Linked DNA regions of Mus musculus. The protein of the gene in region 2 purifies or fractionates together with the protein of the main gene of each other region. This does not show direct contact. Links are inferred from orthologs where the notes say so. Each region holds a gene or a part of one and is shown on either strand. Other genes may lie near its edges.

Region 1 (3,500 bases), on a different chromosome or scaffold from region 2:
GCTGTGACCTGCGTACCAGGCTCCATCCCCTGTGGACGGAGCCCCTAGCCTGAAACCTCAAGGTGAGTTCCACACCAATTTCTATCTTCTCAGCAGGTGGCCTCACCCTAGGAGCCTCTGCTCTCCTGGGGTCTAGCCTGTGGTAAAGCTTAGAGTATCGCCCCATACTCCTCCTGAAGATGAGCCTGTGGAGGCAAAAAGCACTCTGGCTGAGCAGGCCCTGTGGTGACCACCCCAACTCCTAGAGCAGAGGCAGGCGTGCAATAGGAAGAAGGTGGAGAATAAAGAAAAAGGAAAGCGGAGGAAGTGGAGAGGGGGCAGGACATGGCGCCATCCTTCCCTCCTTGAGTACTGGGGACAACGAAGTAGTTTTGGTTGTCAACTAGTAAGTTGACAGGGCTCACCCCCTCCCTGCCTCTGTAATTCAGCTGGTGGCTAAGCCCGTGATTTCGGGGTGGGGCAGTGCTGAAGCCCGGAGGCCTCCGCAGATTTGGCTATGATCCCAAAACTCCCCGAGGGTAGGAATGACACAAGGGAAGTTAGAGAGGACAGAAGAAGCCTGGTCACGTGACTGAAGCAGGACTTGGGAATCCTAACTAGGCAGATCTACCTAACTCCTGTGAGGTCTAGCCTTGCTGAGCAGGCTCAAGATCTGATGGGCAATAGGGACCTGGAGGGGCAGGGCTGGGCTGGAGGCTGGCTGGCTAAGAGAAGCAGAAGCAGGGACAGGGAGTTCAGCACCCTGCCCAGTCCTGACAGACACACTGCTGGACTGCAGGGGAATTCAGAATTGTGTTCTGGCCTAAAGGATCCAGGCCTGCTGCGCCTCTGAAATTCCTGGGACACTCTGATTCTCTAGCTGAGTCCTGGGCTTGGCTCAGATCCAGAAAAGGTCAGAAGCAAAGTCCAGGCTCCAGCTTGTGCACACATCCGTCACCTCAAAGACAGCCTCTTCCGTCTCTGTGGGGCTCTGAGCAACAGGCCTGAACTCCTGTATCCTCAGTGACAGCCTGGAGTTTAACATATGTCATGCCCCGGCCTCAAACCCCTCCCACTCTTGATTTCCTACTGACACCTTCAGCTGTCATTGCTTAAGGACCTGTTCTTTGCACTCATCACTGTGTCCCTGACACTCTGCACGGAGCAGGTGGCTGCAAACGTTCTTCAGAACGATCATGTGTGAAGACAGATAAGGAGCCTGAAAGCCACCATGGCTGTCGTTTCTCCAGGCCTTCCGACAGCATGCTATCCCAGAGTTTCCATCCAACCTACTCCACTCCCAAAGCCTCGGTGGGCAGTCATCAGCTTCTACCCTGGGAGCGCCTGCCGTGCCCAGTCCCTTGCGGTACTCACTAAGCGGCTGAGTCATTGAGCTGGTATTCTCGTGAGCGGCCAAAGCAGGCTTGCACACCGTGGTCAGCCCAGAGCCTCCGGATGACACCGGACAGGTCTTCAGGAAGCATCCCTTGTTCCTCTGCAGCACAGGACAGGGCGAACAGCTGCCTGGCATCATCCTGAGCACAGAAATGGAGGTCAGACAGACAGACAGGTAAAGGAACAAACGCCCTCCCGATGATTAGAGAGCAGGGAATATTCTAGAACAGGGCCCAGACTGGTGTACTCTCAGGCTCCCTAGGACAAGACTTGCCCTGAAGGCTTCTGGGAGCCAGGCAGAGAGGAAGGGGTGGAGGAAGGGCACGCACCGCACGCTGGGGATCAGCAAAGTCGATCTGCAGGTTGCCCATGGCCTTCACGATGGCCATGATAGACTGGATGGTGTTGCTGTAGACCACGGCACGGTACTGCCGGCACTCCTCTTCTGAGTAGCCATCTTCATGGATGATCCTGATAAACAGAGGTCATAAGTTATGATCCACCAGCCACAAGAAATCCCACAGCTACCCGGGAACTGCCGGGGACTACTCCAAAGAGGGGGAACAGCCCCTGGCCTACAGAGTCATATTGATATAAGTAGCAATGGGGCCCTCTGGGACAGGTGGAGACCAAGCAGGGGAGACGGGACAGGCCCAGAGGAAGATGATGGTCAAACTTTGGTGACTTCTGCACACCACTTACTTCATCTGCTTGACGATGGTGCTCTTCCCTGACTCTCCAGCACCTGGAACAGAGGGCAGAGATGAGGAGGAGAGGACAAGCCCAGTGGGCTCCATATGCAAACAGCCTTGCCATTATCACTGAAGGTACTTCCTACCTTCTACACATCGGTGGCACAGTGAGACAGCCGGTGGCTTACAGGGGCCACAGTGACTAAGGAAACCTATAGCTTCTGCTCCTTGGCAGGCTCCATGCAGGCCTCTGCTTCCCTAAGGTCCACTGTCTGTCAGGGATCCCGCCATGCCCCCACCTCTGTCCTGTATGAGTTCAGGGAGTTAGCCAAGGTCTTAGGTCCACATTCTCTACTCTCACAAACACAGGCTTACCACCCTGTGCAAGAGCAAGGCAGGGGGGCTGGCGAGATGGCTTGGCGGGTAAGAGCACTGACTGCTCTTCCGAAGGTCTTGAGTTCAAATTCCAGCAACCACGTGATGGCTCACAACCACCCATAATGAGATCTGATGCCCTCTTCTGGTGTGTCTGAAGTCAGCTACAGTGTATTTACATATAATAATAAATAAATCTTAAAAAAAAAAGAGCAAGGCAGGGCTGGCTGGAAGGTACCCTGCATATTGCAAAAGGGCAGGAAATGCTCCTGTTCCCAAACTCTGAGATTTAGCTGCTAAGTAACCTACAAGGACCAGAGTCACATTCCTGTCCTTTGGACATGGCCCAAGACCTAGCCCTCTGCTTTCTGGATCAGCTCTGTCCTAAACAGATGGAAAATAGAAACACACACACACACACACACACAAACACTGACTCAAGCCTCTCTAGGTTGGCAGAACCCCTGTCCTCATTTCTCTGTGACTGGTTCTGAGGTTTGTTGGTCTCTTCTGTGTTTGCCACAGCAACTCCATTAAACCAATCTTTTCTGATCTCACTTTACAGAAGGCACTGAAGTTCAGAAGCGAACATTCTTGGAGCAGGATCATGCAGCCCGCATTTAAGATGACACCATAATGCCAAGATGAGCCCAGCCTCCATCCCAGCCTCTGCCTGTCCCCTCACCAGCTTCATTCCTGTACCTTCCAGGTACTGCCTGCTTCTTGCTATTCATCCTGTCCTCTTTCCTGGGAAACCCTGCCCTGTGTTCTGTTCACAGGACTGACCTATGAGTGGGTTGAACTTGGGAACTCTGTCCTTCTATCCAGATCATATAATAGGGCTAACGTATTAACAAAAACACCATCAATAATAATGACGGCAAAGTTGTGACAAGCACCCACTGTGTGCCAAGGTTTCATGTAGACCAGGTTGGCTTCAAATTTGTAATGCAGTCAAAGATGACCTTAAATTTCTCAACTTCCCGCCTGGAATTACCAACTGTTCATCAACATGGCCAATTTTTTTCATTCTTATAATTCTTTTGTTTTGTTTTGTTT
Region 2 (6,031 bases):
GGCTCATCTGCCTGCACGGCTATCCCTTGTTAACCACAACAGATTTGTTCCACGGCCCCTGTGGTACCCAACTCTACAGATGGTCAGGTTGCTTACATCAGGTGACAGGATAGCTGCATAGAAACTATGCACATCTCCCATACAGTTTAAACCATCTCCAGGTTACTGATGCTATCCATAGCAGGTGCCGACTGAGAAGGCACCAGGAACGTCCCCGTCATCCCAGCCACTCTGTGGAGGTGGGAAGTTCAAGACCAGCCCAGAAAATTAAAGCAAAACCAAATTGTGAATGCTATACAACATCTCTCATGCTGTCCTGTTCATGGAGTATTTACAGAAACCACACATGCCCAGTGTCTTTGACCCTCAATTGGTTGATCTCTGGATGTGGACTCCTGGAGATATGAAGAGTTCACCTTATTTGCTTTCAACCTATCCCTGGCGTGAAATTCACTCCCTACTCTGTCTCATTCTTGTTGACTCCCAAGGGGGCTTGGAACTTGGAGTAAGATGGGTGGTTTATTGAGGGTGCAGAGTGCTGTCAACTATGTCTGTGGCTAGAGAGTCACTCTGGGGGCGGAGCAACATTACCTTCAATTACACATGTTTTACTTGCCCTGCTATACATTCAAATTTAACACCAATAATGATAGCATGGGGTCTTCCGTAGAGGGACACACGTCATAATTAGCAACCAGGCCCTTGTTCTGTAGTGTTTTCAGATCTGAGCAGAGCACCTATCTGCTTCTGCAGCGAGCACCACAAAAACACACATTCACTCCGTTTTCCAGGAGTGCTTGGATTGAGTTTATCCATGATGTTGTCTGCCACAGTGTGCTCTCTCCTGATGTGCAGCAAACCTTCTTGATGCTCACAATCATGGGCACTGAGTCCCTAGTATGGAAGCTTTATAGAATTCTGAATTTTCTATAGAGCCCAACAGGCTATACCTAAGAGTCTAACATATTGTTAACATTCATCTTTTGTTTATATACTATACAGCTTGAATAGACAGATAACTGAATTTTGAACAGGCAGAATATTATTTTAGGAAAAGGTTTAATTAAGTGTAATGTACATAGAGAAAAATGCAGCTCTGCTTTTTAGCAAGCCAAAAGAAAGATAATAATAATAATAACAATAACAATAATAATGTTCAAATGCCTATTTAGTATTACTTTCTCCATCTTTTTCAAAATATTTTCGTTTTCATCATTTCATTTGATACTTGCAACAATTACGACAAAGCTTTGTGGGGGGCAAGGATGTAGGTGTTATCCCTGTCTGACAGATGTGGAAAGTGAGGGTGGATCACAACTGATTTCCTGGATTGGTATGTATACAGTGAGAATCTTATACCCACTTTAGATGCACCATTTCTCGTTAGCAAAATTTGCACGGGAGCAGAGCAGACAGTCTGTCAACCTTTCACATCTGCTTGGTTGCTTGAAGGCAGTGCCTGTTATGATTGACCGGCCCCACCGGTGATAAAATATCAGAGATTTCTTCCTGAAGACATCAAAGGCAAATGTAGTCTCTTGAGAAAAGGAAGAGGGCAGAAATAATTCTGCCATGGTACCAGACTTCCGAAGGAAAGAACTGCTTTGGAACTCAGATGTGCTAACCTTATCTTTTTCCTCTCTGTTTCTCAACTTTCCCCTTTTCAAAAAGAGGATGTTTTTGTTTTTATATGTATGAGTGTTTGCCTCCATGTGGGTATGTGTACCACGCGCATGCCTGGTACCCGTGGATGTCAGGAGAGTTTGTAGGATCTCTGGGACTTGGAGTTACCAATGGATGTGAGCTGCCATCTGAATGCTGGGAACTGAACCTGGGACCTCTGTAAGGACAGTCACCGAGTCGTCCGTCCAGGTTGATATTTTTTTCATCTTCCCGTTTTTAAAACCAACAAGATAAATTGAACAAATATACAAATTGCGCAATCATTAAAACATTTATTTAGTTTGCCTGGAACTCAATCTGTAGACCAGGCTGGCTTCAGACTCATAGAGACCCAGCTGCCTTCTATTCCCAAGCACTGAGATTCAATGTGTGCACTTGGCACCTCTGAAACTTTTAATAGGCATCTAACAGTATGCTTGAATCAGCTAGCTCTAGCTATGGTCCAAATCACTATTTATTCTTAAAAAAAAAAAAAAAAAAAAAAAAGAGCCTCAAATGGTTTGAACTCAATGATGGTGTGTTTGAGCCAGTAGTCTAGTTATATAAATATGATGCTCTAAAGCTTTGCAAATTAAAACTCACCAAGGGTCTTCTGTACAGTGAGAGGAATGCAGTATATGGACTCAAGAAGTTGCTTAGACAATAATGTTCAAAATAGTAGGACAGTTGGGGTACTTTTCCCAAGCCACCAGAATCGTGAACACCTTTTATAGGAAATGTCTCATAGGATTCAGACTTCTCAAGTAAAGGTTATAGAGACCAATGGAGCAAGGTAGGTGAGCTCCAGGCAGGAACCCCAAGAATTAGAGCCTCCCACTACTGAGCCTCACTACACCCTTCTCTGTAAAGTGAATGAGTCTGATGCCCGACCCTTGGGCTCACTCAAGGACTTTCTGTATGGGTGCTCAGGGTCCCAGTGCAGCTTGTGGAGACTCCTAGCTCTCAGAAGGGGTGTGCTCCCCCAACTATTCGCTTATCCCAACTATTCATTTATTACAGTGGTGGAGACCAAGCCTAGGGCTTTGCCAATGCTCCACAAACAACAACCACCAAGCTATTGAATTCTGAAGACTGGATTCTAGTTTAGGCCGATCATCCGTGAAAGGAAGTCATCCCGTTTTCTAAGCCAAACTGAATTCACATTATCAGATATTTTCAAACTAATTCTTGTACTTTGCACAGCCCGAAGCGTTGCAGAAGCTAGGCCAAAGGTGAGCCACATGCTGCCTGAATTTGAGTTTTCACCAGCTACCTGGTTTAGGACAAAAATATCATTTGGGGCCATTTATTTAAGCAAATGGATTCCCCTCTACCCTTCTACCAAAAGTTTACTTCCAAACCAGGAACAGAAATCCAAGCAACCTTGACGCTGTTTGAAGGCATAAAAAAGCTTAGGGAGAACCGACCAACCCGCTCTTACGCTCTTACGCAGGGTAACTAGGTCAGCTCATTGCTCCAGGGAACCCCAACTGTAACTCAAACACAGAATTAACTCTAGTCCTATATTCTATGCAAATGCATTTCTCGCTACAGTTTTCATCTTCTAAAATGCAGATTTGACTTGAGGAACAAAGGTGCTTCCTCAGCATTCTTAGCATCTTCCCAGACTACCTTGCAATTTGGTGCTGTTAGCTGAAAACCACACCTGATAACAAAAGCCAAGCAGTAGCTCTGTTGTTTTTGGCGGCTTCTGCATCTTCTCCTATTTTTGCGAAGTTGGGGGAAATGGATTTTATGCAAATCCAAACAACTGATGATGAGTTCGTTGATCTAGATGAGTAAAGAGATGCTGTGGGAGGGAACAGAGTTTTACATCTCTAAGAACTGAAGACTCCTGGATGATCTTTGTCAAGGCATCTTATAGAGGGACAGGGTCAAGAGAAAGGAGAGAAAATTATCCAAAGTCTCATTTCTCAGAAACGGACTTTCTGAAGTTTTCTCAGTGTCCCGCAATGGGGCTAGCGCTGGGAAAGGTGCCCGGAGCCCCTACCTGAGTTCCTGAGCTTCTTGTTGCGGTACACAGACAGGATGACCAGCAGGTTGCCCAGAATGTCCACCACGATGGTAAAGATGAGGATGAAGGCCAGTGTAGAGGCCAGCCAGGACGGTCGTGGTCTCCCTCCCTCCCCGCCGCCTGGAGCCTGCTGAGTGGCATTGAGCAGCTCGCTGACATTGCCCTTCATGGTCCCCTGGGTGCCTCACCGCAGCACAGCCAGGGCCATTGTCCTGTCGCCCCGGAGCCCTCAACTGCTCAGCTCTGCTCGAGCCCTCTCCGCCACTTTTTATGGCCCTCCCGCGTCTACTTTGCATCCTTATGATTGCTTCGCGGCTGTCCTGCCCACTCCAGCCCCTCCCGGTGGTAGGACACCCTCTCTGCACTTGGCCACTGCCGCCTGCTGACACCTGCTGTCCACTGCCCAGCAACTTGGACTCGGAGGTCCCACAGTGCGTGCACGTTGCGCCCCCGTGTGGCGAGACTCGGTGAGACACGTGGAGGCATCAAGTGGAGGGAAACTTGCACCCTGGAAGGCCTCGATTCACGAACTTGAATCCTAACCAGGACTAGATGCCCTGGATGTCTTATCCGGAAAATGAAGATGAAAATAGAATCTAACTCATCAACTTTAATAGTCAATGATGTGTAAAAATAAAGTAATAATGATATTAAATCACACCCTTTCCGTCTGGCATAGCACGATTTAATGTCTGTTCTGGGTGTTTCTGGCAATTAAACGAAACAAAATGTAAATATTTGCAGATGACAGGTGTATATGTTCTTTTGAAACTATCAGTGAAAACAGAAACTTGAGATAATAGAAGCAGACGTAGAACCACAGTGTAAGATTTCTGGGAAGTGCATTAGCCAGCTCTGTACAGAATGGAACAAAACCCCAAAACTTTCTTCAACATGGGGAAGGAGACTTACACAAAACATATGATGTTCTCATATTGAACACTTAAATTTTCATGCTCTCCATATATTTTATGGCTGTCCAATTCCTAAGCATTTCCAAAGTCCCTTTGAAAGAGTGAAGAAAAATGAAGAAAATACATTTTAAGAAGATGAATACCAGAAAAGCATGACATGACAATATTAAAATCTGTATTAAAATTAAACAATGTGTCGTAGCTCTGGAGGCTGAGGCAGGAGAATCAACACCAGTTTGGGGGCATCTTGAGCTGTGTGGTCAATCAGTGTTGCTGTATAAAATCCTGTCTCAACAAATCATATTAAGTAAAATGGTTGTGTTCATCAATAATTTCAAGAAGAAATGCAATGCAGAATTGAGGGGCCTGAGCGTGTGGCTCTGTCGTTAGGGCTCCTGTGCAGCATTTGCAAAATCTTAGACTCCATTTCTAGTGCTGTATAAACTGGATGTGGCACCTCAGTCACGTAACCCCAGCACCCAGGAGGGAAGGCAAAGGATCAGAGGTTCAAGGTCATCCTCCGCTGTTCAGGACAAACCTGGGATGTGCGAGATTTCATCTAAACCGAGAATAAAGCACAGAATTAAGAAGGTTAATGTTTTAAATTAGCAATGAGGGAAATCGGTGATGGACAGGAAGATATGTTTAAGGGAATGTGGGTAAGTGAGTCTCTAAACTTGAGGTAAGGAAGGGCCCCCTCACTAAGTGAGCATGAGAGGGAGAGTGGGACCGAACCCCATCATCGTGAGCATAGAAAAGACCCATGAGCTTAGGTCATCAACTGACCTAGGGCTCTCTGCACAGCCCTGGGAGAGCTTTTTCAAATGGGCAGTCTTACACGATGTTAATCTGACAGGGTTTGACACTGTGAGGGCCATATGTTGGCTGAAACCCTGCAACACTGGCCAGTGAAGTAACGTGCAGAGGTATGCAATCAGTCATGAGTGAAAACAGGTTTTGAACTTGAGTCCCCCTGAGTCCACAGCTCCAAACCTCATTTCTAAGTGACTGTGTTTCTCAATAGACCGGTATTGGCCACAGAAATGTTTGACACCTATAATAAGAAAAACATAACATAAACTATATAAAACAGGAGATGATATATGGTATAGCAATACAATATATGATATGATATATATGATATATGACATGATGTATATTGTTGATATATGACATGATATATGTATGTGAATATATGATGTAACAATGAAGCATTGTAATGCAATGTAACGAGTGTAACATTTTTGAGTGAGTGTGGGTAAAAATAATGGCAAGATGACTAGGGCTCATAATTAGAAATAATTAAAACTGGAAATTGAGAATTAGAGGGTGTCACTGGTGTATAGTATATGTTTAGCATACCTAAAGCCCTGGGTTTAGTTCCTGGTACCACTACTCAAAATCAAAAAGGCTCAATTTG
Region 3 (3,500 bases), on a different chromosome or scaffold from region 2:
CAACCGTAGGCTCTTCACTCACCGTTTGTTTTAATACTGCTGCCAACTGTAACAGATTCAAATCTGTACACGACAAGGTGGAAAAAGTCCCCAAATGCAAGTTTTAGAAAAAGAATATAGTAAGGACTACTACTACAGTTAACATTGCTACAGTAAAAACGATGGCAAACAGGGATTTGGCACCACATTTACAAAGGAAAAGCATGCACTGTTAATACACTTTTAGATGTCTCCTAACAAAAAAGGCCACGAAGATGGAAAACAAGGGGCATCTTATTCAAAACCTCCCCATGACCGAGACAAACAGGCAAGATTCCATGTGGTCAACTTAGTAGACCTGTAGCAGCAAGCCACTGGTTCTCAATTTAGCATCTGCATCTCATTGACGGCTATCCTGCGTGTGTCCAAGAAGCAGTTTAACACACTACATCAGTATTCATCTAGTAATTTGGTAATCAGCACAAACAAGGTTAACCCCGACAAATACAACTTCCAACCGTAAGCGTAAAGCAATGAGAGCAGGAATCGTACTGTAGAACTCTCCAAGGTGAATGCTGTTTAGAAACCATTGTGGTACTTTAAACATGACAGTAACATAAATTTCATTCCGAAAAGCTCTATTAATATAGTCCCAATAACCAGGAAGAATTTTAATTATTGAAATATTACTCCCGACCATTCCAAGAGTTAAAAACAAACAGTTCCTACTAAGAGGAATAGTTTCAAGATGTCTGGTGACATTGTGTGCATAGTTAAGACTCAGTCCTCAGAAGTTTCTTTTGCAAACAAGGAAGAGTTTTTAAGTATTCTTCTCTTGATAAGAAAAACCTTAGAAATTAACTACTGGTCATTTGTCAAAAAGATGGGGGAAAGTGAGCTACATGTTTAAGTTCTGGAAGGCAGCACCTCAACTTCAATATGCCCTAAACATTAGATTACAGAGTCCAAGCGACGCCCTGACGATCCAGTCATACTTTACAGTTGTCCAATCCCAGGTCTGATTTGAACATCTCATGCCAATTAGACATTCCCTAATAGAGAAGACTGCTGGAGAGCGCTAGCTAAGATTCTGCGTGTTGCTGCCATTCCTTGGTCCTGTCATGCGTGCTGCTGACCCAAGAGACAGTAGATGACATCTGGTCTCAACACTCCTCCCTGTAATAGCTAAAAAAGAGAAGACATTGTTAATCAGAAAAACATTTACAAAGCTACCCCGCCCCCAGTGGTAACTAAACTGTCTCAAGTTTTACCTTTTACTATGCCATCCTCTCAATAAAGCCCACATTCCTTTAAGTTGTTTTTAATGATGACATCCGTAACAGCATCAAAAACAAACTGCACATTTTTGGTGTCTGTGGCACAGGTGAAGTGAGTGTAGACCTCCTTGGTATCTTTTCTTCGGTTCAGATCTTCAAACTGGCACTGAATGTAAGCAGCTGCCTCTTCGTATGTATTGGAACCTGAGGCAGACGACCAACATTGTCAAGTGTAACAGCTGCCTGCACCCAGCTAAGTTAGGCCATCAGCATTTACTTACGGAAAGCAACACCACACAACTGACTACAAACAGAATTCTGCCTCTATTTCTATTACCCTTAGGATTTTCTGCAGTCATTGGATTTTTCATAAGAAAGACTCACACGGACACTAAAACCAAACCATCATGCTCAAGGGATGAGGAAAACAAGTTTCACTTCCTCTGAGACCCTGACCTTGGAGTGACCCTGGACGAAGGGCTCCCAACAGGTAAAGCATTTATTTAAACATCATTCCAATCCTAGAGAGGCACCAGCAAAGGCAAACTAACAGATGGGGAACAAGTGGGACCCCAGTTATAGACTCTGACACCTCTCCTCACCCGGCACCGCCTTCAAACTCATGGCTTCCTACCTCGCCCTCCCAAGTGCTGGGATGCAGGCACGGTGCCCATCCACAGCCAGTAACACACTTTAAAGGATAAGTCTGTCTCAACAAGCAGCTGCTTTCTAAGGAGTAGGGGCACGAGGAGACCAACAGAAAGCCTTCTTTTTAATATATATAATTAACACTCAGTCGTCCACTTTCCACACGGTCTTAGAAACCGCCTGTAGCGTCAAGGACACTGTCAAAACAATGTACACTGTTTTCATAAACCAGAGCCTATTTTGGGTGAGATCAAGCATGGCAAGAAATATCAAGTAAGTACATAAAGAAGCCTGGGAGAAAGAAAGAACACATGAAATACAGAACTAAAGGAAGACTACTTTGTTAGGTGCCTAGAGCTCGCAACCCCCCTCCCATCTTGGTTTTTCAAGACAGGGTTTCTCTGTGTAGTCTTCACTCTCCACAAGGCTGGCATCTTATGGGAGTCAGTTCCCTCCTGTAATCCAAGTCCAGGAGCTGAACTCAGGTCATCAGGTTTGGAGGCACGCACCTTATCCGATGGGCCACCTCACTGTCCACTCCCCTTACTTTCTAAGAGATTCTGGTTCTTTTCTTTTGTATCCTTTATAAACCTTTATTTCTCTCCTGTTGGTAGCTAGTATTTGTCTCATTTTATCGTTTCTCGCCTCATTTTATAGTCATCTCTCTGGTAACTTCATTTATCTCCAATAAGTTAATTACTGCTGTTCTCAGGTTTATACATCTAAGCTAACCTTTCCCTAAGTCCCTAGTATAAGGATCACTACCAAACAGACACTTCTATCTGGTTATTCTACAGATACTTCTAAAACAACATTCCAAAATATAAATTCAGATCATAGCAAAGTATCCAACTGAGAGACTTGAGTGAAGACACCTTTGACTTTCTAATGTTTGCTGAACCTTTCACTGTATTCTCAAAAGAAAGCAGAGTCTCAGATAGTGAGAGCCCCCATCCACGGAAACAGCTCAGAGAGTCCCCTTCTCACTCTGGCCATCTGGTCACAGCTTTCATAATGGCACAGTTCTGCCATTGTTGTCTGTGATCCCTAATTTCAAATAGCCGACTGGCCCACAGCGTTTTACCTTCTTTAGCTATAACCAGAATCTTTCCCAGAGAAACTTGAATTGGAAGTCAAGCAAACCCAGTATGACCTCATTGTTTTAATGGAAGAGACACAGAAATGGTGGCAATGCCATCCTTCATCTTATAAACTGAATAGTAAAGGACATTAGTGGGGACAGAGAAGAATAGACATGGAGCCAAGGAAAGAGACAGAGATGAAGTGACCTCCTTTAGAGGTGCCTCCCTCGCACTGGCACTGACTTCACAGTCTGACTTTCACTCCTAGCCCCACCCATATCCTTGTCCTTGGCTTTTAAGATGCCATCCTGGCTCTCACTGAAAGGTTGTATCTGCATCCGAAGGCAGTCCTTACTGCCGTCCTCACTACACTGCTGCTAGACTGCTGTTCATACACCATGTGCCCAAGGCCACTTGTCACTAGCTCGACACAGGGCCAGCCTCTCCCTGCTAGTACGTTAAATTCCACAGCTGCCACATGCCCCTTCTCCATTTCTTACATGCAACTGTCTTC

The links. The genes of interacting proteins can lie anywhere in the genome.
Region 1: the proteins of Mtnr1a (region 2) and Gnai2 purify together in Homo sapiens (tandem affinity purification; 3 studies listed by BioGRID and IntAct, with this or other methods). This does not show direct contact. The link is inferred for Mus musculus from reciprocal best matches to the Homo sapiens genes MTNR1A and GNAI2.
Region 3: the proteins of Mtnr1a (region 2) and Gnai3 purify together in Homo sapiens (tandem affinity purification; 3 studies listed by BioGRID and IntAct, with this or other methods). This does not show direct contact. The link is inferred for Mus musculus from reciprocal best matches to the Homo sapiens genes MTNR1A and GNAI3.

Annotation. Positions count from the first base shown.
Region 1 is NC_000075.6:107,618,344-107,621,843, forward strand, and holds part of Gnai2 (guanine nucleotide-binding protein G(i) subunit alpha-2), read right to left. Parts: intron 2,120-3,500; coding exon 2,077-2,119; intron 1,846-2,076; coding exon 1,704-1,845; intron 1,515-1,703; coding exon 1,354-1,514; intron 1-1,353. UniProt on the Homo sapiens protein: Guanine nucleotide-binding proteins (G proteins) are involved as modulators or transducers in various transmembrane signaling systems.
Region 2 is NC_000074.6:45,067,045-45,073,075, reverse strand, and holds the start of Mtnr1a (melatonin receptor type 1A), read right to left. Parts: upstream 3,970-6,031; 5' UTR 3,867-3,969; coding exon 3,674-3,866; intron 1-3,673.
Region 3 is NC_000069.6:108,108,153-108,111,652, forward strand, and holds part of Gnai3 (guanine nucleotide-binding protein G(i) subunit alpha), read right to left. Parts: intron 1,461-3,500; coding exon 1,270-1,460; 3' UTR 1,251-1,269; intron 1,165-1,250; 3' UTR 1-1,164. UniProt on the Homo sapiens protein: Heterotrimeric guanine nucleotide-binding proteins (G proteins) function as transducers downstream of G protein-coupled receptors (GPCRs) in numerous signaling cascades.